Linked DNA regions of Arabidopsis thaliana. The protein of the gene in region 1 interacts with the protein of each later gene in a biochemical or structural test. Each region holds a gene or a part of one and is shown on either strand. Other genes may lie near its edges.

Evidence for each region. Proteins that work in one complex are often made in the same cells at the same time.
Region 2: the proteins of BTI1 (region 1) and RAB8 form a complex in vitro, tested with the Arabidopsis thaliana proteins (one study listed by BioGRID).

What each region holds. Positions count from the first base shown.
Region 1 is NC_003075.7:12,315,143-12,318,896, reverse strand, and holds the start of BTI1 (VIRB2-interacting protein 1), read right to left. Parts: upstream 1,862-3,754; 5' UTR 1,736-1,861; intron 1,725-1,735; exon of another isoform or gene 1,522-1,724; intron 1,324-1,521; 5' UTR 828-1,323; coding exon 563-827; intron 157-562; coding exon 1-156. Other genes in the region: AT4G23620 (Ribosomal protein L25/Gln-tRNA synthetase, anti-codon-binding domain-containing protein), read left to right, coding at 2,238-2,702, 2,795-2,924, 3,643-3,754. UniProt on the Arabidopsis thaliana protein: Plays a role in the Agrobacterium-mediated plant transformation via its interaction with VirB2, the major component of the T-pilus.
Region 2 is NC_003074.8:19,877,070-19,880,823, forward strand, and holds the start of RAB8 (RAB GTPase homolog 8), read right to left. Parts: upstream 1,724-3,754; 5' UTR 1,626-1,723; coding exon of another isoform or gene 1,473-1,625; 5' UTR 1,321-1,472; exon of another isoform or gene 1,198-1,320; 5' UTR 1,196-1,197; coding exon 1,123-1,195; intron 695-1,122; coding exon 622-694; intron 534-621; coding exon 433-533; intron 332-432; coding exon 266-331; intron 113-265; coding exon 15-112; intron 1-14. Other genes in the region: AT3G53611 (uncharacterized protein), read left to right, coding at 1,473-1,625. UniProt on the Arabidopsis thaliana protein: Involved in membrane trafficking from the Golgi to the plasma membrane.

The DNA of each region.
Region 1 (3,754 bases):
ACCACAAAAACAGCACAGCGAGAACAACAATCATCACGTGGCAAAGCAGAGTGAGAAGATGGTACTCCATCAATTCAAACACAACCCAAGCAGCTGTAGCACCACCAAGTACACCACCAGACATCTTCTTGTTCTTCCACATGAATATATCAGCCGCTGCAAATAGGAAGAATAATCAAGTTGAGCAAACATTACAACATACTGTCATCTAAATCAACCACATTAGAAAAACATGGAACTTGATACTGTAAGGTTTCTATATCGAGATTATGTCAAAAACCCATTTTTATGATCAAAACATTCATTTAGAAATGGAATCCCTAATTAAACCCTCACAAATGCCAAAATAAAGAACCCCAATAATACAAATGGACACGATGGATCGATTCAGATCAACGAGTAAAATAGAAACCCTAAACAAGTGCAGATTCAAATCACACATATCAATGAAACCTAATCCATCAAAATGAAAGAATAAACCAAACAACACATATAAGAAAACAGATCAAGCCACAACACACACAAATATATGAAAGTAAAACCAGATCGGAGAAAAACTTACGCTTTCCACCGCCGAGAACCTTATGAACAGGCTGCTCTCGTCCGAACAAGCGGTAAACTTTCGATTTCATAGAAGACGAAGGAGAAGAGGGCTTCTTAGTCTTCTTCTTCTCGTCTTCATCATCAGAAGATGAAGAAGACGAAGAAGAATCACCACCGTGATGGATCTTCTCCGATATCTTATCCATCAACGATTCTCTCTCCACAACCTCAACAGCTGGCTCAGGAGCGATCACAGATTCATCATGCTTATGTTCTTCCGCCATCGTTTCAAAACGCAAAGATCTTAGCTTTTTTCGATTTCGATGGAAGAAACAAAGAACACAGTATTTTAGCTGCTTCCCAAAGTTTTTACCTTTTGAGAAGAAAAGATCTCGAAGCCTAAAATAGAAGAAAGAAATCGAAACTCTAATCTCAGCCGTTGAAAATATGAAACTAATCTGAGCCGTTGGTTGGTTCGGATACGAACTTCCGAAGCTACAGGTTCGTTTACTTAATTAGAGCCAAACCTTGGGGAAAAAGGCAAAAAGCCAAATGGGAACACAAAATACATTTCACAAAACGAATGGTCGACATGTGACGCCGTCAGAGTTAACGTTTCCCGTCATGAGGGACGTATACGTGGCGATGTCTGAGCTAAGTAACTAGGTTATGATCAGGTGTCACGCGGCTGACGCATGATGCGGTACGATCTAATTTTTTTAATTGCAGGACACGTGGAGGAAGATTCAGCCATTCGTACATGCGTCACGTTCTTTCTGTCTGCGTCAAAAAAGGACACAATCAAACAAATTCTTAATATTATAATAAACGTAATATTCTAAAACAGTATATAACGTCTAGAAAAAAATGATAGTCGGCAAAGAAAATAACGATAATAGGCAAAGAAAAATATAATAATAGGTGTAAAACAAAACACATAGAAAAGTGAAAATAGGTGTAAAAAAAAGAAGAGAAAACCTTGTAAAAAATGTGAGAGTGAGAAAGAGTGGAGCCCAATAAAGCACAAATAATGGACATCAATCTGATCAAGCCCAGTATCAGTTCTCTCATGGGCCCATTACAAAAAGATGCTCGGAAACAAACTGAAACCTCAAGTTATGGTCCATAAATAATGAAGTACACAAAAATGCTCAAACCGATGTATTGTGTTTCGAATAACTCAGACAATTACCTTGTACATGGAAGACAAAGTGAAATAGTAGAAGCTCCATGAGAGAACACAACACAAATAATAAAACAAATGATAGGGTAATGGCATGATGAAAAAATATTTTAGGTACTGCAACGTCTGAGAAATGTAATTTTTTTTCTTTGTCGAGAGAACAAGACGAGCTACTTAAATGGAGTCATATTTTTTGTTCAGACGACTTCACCCTTACCATAATATATTCCACTAAAGCCTTTGTGGTATACATTAAGAGCAAATTGGTCATTTACAAAAACAACAAATGGAATATCCGTTGAATTAAGCATCTGACTTTTGCCCTTTGTTCAAATCAAATGCAGTTATAATGGGTTGAGCTAAGTTAAAGCCCATAACATTTAAAGCCCATTGAATAATCTAGAAACGACGACGTCGTTTTATTAGAGAAACCCCATTTCTGTAACACAGCTCCTAAACCCATTTGCTCACTTCGTCGTCGTCTCTCTCTCTCACTGGTAAAAAGCAAACAATGTTGCTCCGTCGTGCAAAAACACTACCCAAAACCCTACAAAACCTCCGGTTATTCTCTCCGGCGGCGAACGCAGCTCTATCCCTAGATCATATCCAAGAAACCCAATTAACTTACCTCCCTGGATTCCCTCGACCCGATCCAAAACACGCAGAGACGATCTTAGCCGTTCCAAGGTCTGTCTCCGGCAAGAGCATATCAGCGAAAGAGCGTAAAGCGGGTCGGGTTCCTTCGATCATATTCGAACAAGAGGATGGACAACACGGAGGAAACAAGAGGCTTATTTCAGTTCAGACGAATCAGATCAGGAAGCTTGTGAATCATTTGGGTTACTCTTTTTTCCTCTCTAGGCTCTTTGATGTTGAGGTTCGAGCTGAGATTGGTTCTGATGAGGTTATTGAGAAAGTCAGAGCCTTGCCTAGAGCGGTAAAGTCTCCATTTCTCTCACTCATGAAATTGATTAAAGTTTGCATTTTTTCAATGTTTGGTTTAGTGGTGTGTTTGGATTATTGGTTTATGTATTGAGTTTTTAGAAATGTTATGCTATGTGATTTCAGATTCATTTGCACTCTGGGACTGATGCTCCACTGAATGTGACATTCATAAGAGCGCCTCCAGGTGCTTTGTTGAAAGTTGATATCCCTCTTGTGTTCATTGGAGATGATGTTTCTCCTGGATTGAAGAAAGGTAATAAACCCTTTGCTAGTTTTTTATAATTGGGATCTTTAGTGAGGAATCAAAAAGAAAATAAAGGAAGCATTTTGATAAGCATTTGAGAATAGAGGAGTATATACATGAGTTTGTTAAGGTGCTTACATAGGAATCACTGTTCTTAGTATGAGTTTCTGGATAGCATTTTCTTTTCTCGAATCATAGGCAATGAACAAAATAGATGAGAAATGTGGTTAAAGATTTGGAAGAGAGATAGTGATCAAACATGTGGTTTTTGACTTCTGATTGCTGTGAACGAATAGTCCTGTACGCTTGAGTAGATATGCTAAATGCAGGATTAATACAACGGTTTCTAACTCCTGAAGTAGTTAAGGCCACACATATATTCTTGACGTCATTGGAGCTCATTGAGCTTCTAATCTGTAGAGAAGTGATACTGCTCGGGTTTCAGTTACCCTTTCTTGGATCAGACTGAGCTAAGCTTAGTCGATAGCAAGTAATCATCACTTCAAGTGACGTTATGGTTGATGTTTTACAAAATTTTAACTCGATTTAAAAGAAATCTATGTTTGCATTATACATCTTATAATGGCTTGTATCTTCCTCTGGCTACCCATTTTTGGGATTTTGAAGTTTCATTTCTCTGGCTACTCTCTACCCAATTTTGTAGATCGCAGCATCTAGTTTCCTGTTAGATTTTGATATTGATCACTATTTCTTAATCTTTTGGCAGGAGCATCTCTGAATACGATTAAAAGAACAGTAAAGTTCCTATGCCCAGCAGAGATTATCCCACCATATATAGAAGTAGATCTAAGCCAATTGGATATCGGACAAAAGCTAGT
Region 2 (3,754 bases), on another chromosome or scaffold:
GTAAAAGAAGAGACTCTTTTGCTTTCATCCATATCTGCTTTGTTCCCAACTAGAATCTTGTTGACACTATCAGAAGCATGCTGCTCAATGTTACGGATCCAATTCCTGATGTCTGGAATTGAAGAAAACAAAGGATGAAAAAGAACAAATTAGTTGAGTAGAAAATAATAAAGCTAGCAAATGGAAAAATATAAAGTTTAGAACCGTTGCAAGAGCTTGTTGGGTGGCATAAGGACTGCAAGTAAAAAGTAAAGAGAGTACTTACTGTTGAAAGATGATTCATCAGTCACATCATACACAAGCAAAATCCCCATGGCTCCACGGTAGTACGCTGCAATAAGAACAAACTACTCAGGTGTATTCCAGCGAGGAAGGCAAAGATGCATAAATAACAGCAAAAAGAGAAAACGAAAAGCAAGATCGAAAACACACCAGTTGTGATTGTGCGGAACCGCTCCTGTCCGGCAGTATCCCAGATTTGCAGCTTAATTCTCTTCCCATCGAGCTCAATAGTCCGTATCTTAAAATCAATCCTGTCAAAAACAAAAAGCAACTTGAGTAAGAACAGTGAACTACATAGAGGACGTGATAACACAGTGTCATTGCATGAAGACATCATACCCAATAGTTGTAATGAAACTGGTGGTAAACGAGCCATCTGAGAAACGTAAGAGAAGGCAACTCTTACCAACACCTGGTACATGAAAGAAAGCAAAAGTCAGATAAAACAGAGACATTAGAATAATCCACTGGAACATAGTGAAACACTTACTTACAACAATCAACAAAGGAATATTCAAATCAATTTGGCTAAAGCATTTGCGGCATTAACATCTAGAGAATATAATTAAATAGCTACAGCATTCATTTGTGATTCTCCTCCATCCTAATACCAAACTAAGAAGACTATGAACATCATATGCTCACAATTGTTGAAATGAGATCCAAATCTGAGTAAGATGTGTTACTCAAATCACTGTTGTCTCAAGATCCTTCAAACAAAACTTAAATTGTAATCAACAACAACAAAAATCGAGAGAATCAATCAACAAAAAGATAGAGATTGAATAAAATGCAGGGAACAAAAGGTAGTATTACGATCTGAATGATATAGAAACCTACCGCTGTCTCCGATCAGCAGAAGTTTAATGAGGTAATCGTAATCAGCACGAGCTCTAGCAGGAGGAGCAGCCATTTCTTAACAAAATCAAGTAATTTCCGAGAAACGGATCACTGGTAAGCAAAGAGAGCAAAAACTGGAGACAAAATTTAAATCGAGAATCAATTGTGTAGAACCTAAAAATCGAAAGAAGGAAGTACCAAATCTACTCGGGGAAGATAGATCGTCGGAAGCAAGCAAGACAGTAACCAGACGGCCGTTGAATTTTTTTCTTCCCCCGATTGGCTTTTTTCGGAGATTCAGAAGTTTTTTTTTTTTTTTTGGTTAGAGAGAAGAGGGAGAAGGAGAGGGAATGGATCTGGACCGTTGGATCTTGTTCGTGGAGATCTGTGTTGGTCCGGCGCGTGGTCTTCGGTTACGGTTTGATAAATTTCGAACCATGGGCCTTGGGCTAGTTTTATTTTTGTGTGCTAAATTTATGATTTGGTGTCCACTAAATGTTTAGTTTATTCTTACTGATCCAACCCAACAGGTTACAGAATTGATGAAGTATATTCATACAGTATATGTATTTTTCTATATTTCGTTCTGAGTTGCGTTGCGATTAAGCTCTGGGAAAAAAAAAGTTGTTTCAATCCCTTCACTTGTAAATAAACTCAATTATTTAACTCCAAGGGGACGCAAAGGTTAGGCAAAATAATAATAATAATAATAAGAGTTAGGCAAAAAGAGAGCGATTGACAAATTGAGGAAATTTGAATATATTGTCGTCGGTGTTAAGCAAATAATCATCCAAAGAATAAAGCGTGGATAGGAATCTACAATGATCCTACGTAGCATCTAATGTACTGCATGAGCATTCGTTTACTCAACCCCATCCACCGATCATCCGCTGCGGACAAGTCCACATCTTCACTTCTTCACGACCAATGAGGTAATGCCACGACGAAAGCCTTTCCTAAAATTACACGATCCATTTCCTTTTCTAAATGGATACGAAGAGTGTTTCCATTGACATTAAAGGAAAGCTAACTTTACTTAAAATATCGTCCTTGAGGTAACAAAAAAGTTTAAGCCCCTATACTGTCTTATTTAATGTTTTTTTTTTACTCTTACACTATTTAGTTCTATGTTAATCCAAATTTATCCAATTATTTCCGATATCTAACTATTATCCAAAAAAATTAGGGAATGACACGACACGACGTAAGCCTTTCCTAAATTATACGATCTAGTTTCCTTTTCTAAATGGATACGAAGAGTGATTCCATTGACATTAAAGGAAAAAGTTAAAGCATACATTCTCAGATTTGTTTTGAATGTAGACTGCAATTATTACGTTAATGTGATCGTCTTATTAATGCTTTTAACTCCAATTTACAATGAGATTCATGTTTATCCAATTTTATCCCAATCTCATTAAACTCTTACCATACAAAAAGTCAGAAAGATTATCCAAAACCTTCCGATATGAAAATGGTAATTATTTGAAATGCACGTGTATATTTATCATAAAAATTAATCATAAAACGGTGCTTACGGTGATGGTAATTGGTGACTTGTATCAATCAATGCCAGTAACCGATTATAATACGAGTTCAAATACCAAAAAAAAAAAGAGCTGTAAACAACAAAAATCCATATAATATCTAATACTTTTAAAAGTATAAATCTAATAATTTAAAATAATAATAAGTTAGTAATTTATTTTAAACTCCTAATATCAAAATAGTATAGAAATCCTATACTATCATAGGAATCCTAAAAGTATAAATTATTTTAAATTCTACTAATTTAATAGTTACCAGCTGAAAAAAAAAATAAAAAAAATAAAAAAATAATAGTTACCAAAATTACTATCATAGACAATCCATGCATTTTTGCATGAATCCTAATACTATATAAAATACGATAAACACCCATATTTATCATTTTACACATCTTTTTGTTTGAATTATCCATATACATTATGTATAGAAAGAAAATAAAAACGAATATTCACTTGACAGATTAACATATGCTTTTCTTTTGATTGCAGTTTGTAATCCACCGACAGAGAAATTGCGATGTCATAAATCTGAACACGAATTTTCGGTGCACTCGCCAACACCTGATCTCAACTCTCTCCAGCATATTCCCCAAATTAACAGTAGCTAACGGAGACTTAACGTGGACTCCTCGCAATCCGAGTCACTTTAACGTGTATCAGACAGCCAAACCTTACGTTGACCCCACCGCCGTTAGGAATTCCGTCTATGTCTCTTTTTCCATCATCCAATAAAATCTTGCCACATTGACACTTTCGGGTCCGGACATATTCCAAAATTAAAGAGAATTTAATTTATTGTTTTCCTTCCAGAAAAATATTAATATTCTTTCTAAACTAAAAAATGGAGTCTTCAAATAGCACAGAAGCAGAGACATAGAGCGGGAACGCGTTTAGTCACAGCTTTCTTCTCCTTTAGCTTTTCTCTCTACACTTGCTTCTCTCTCTCTCTCCTTTGGGTTATCCTTCTTGAGATCTGTGCTTGCGTTTCTTCTTCATTCGACGACACTTTATCTCGGGAGATTTCAGATTTGTCGATTTGTTCAGGTACGGATTTCGAAATGTTCTTTCAATCGGATTTGTTCTTC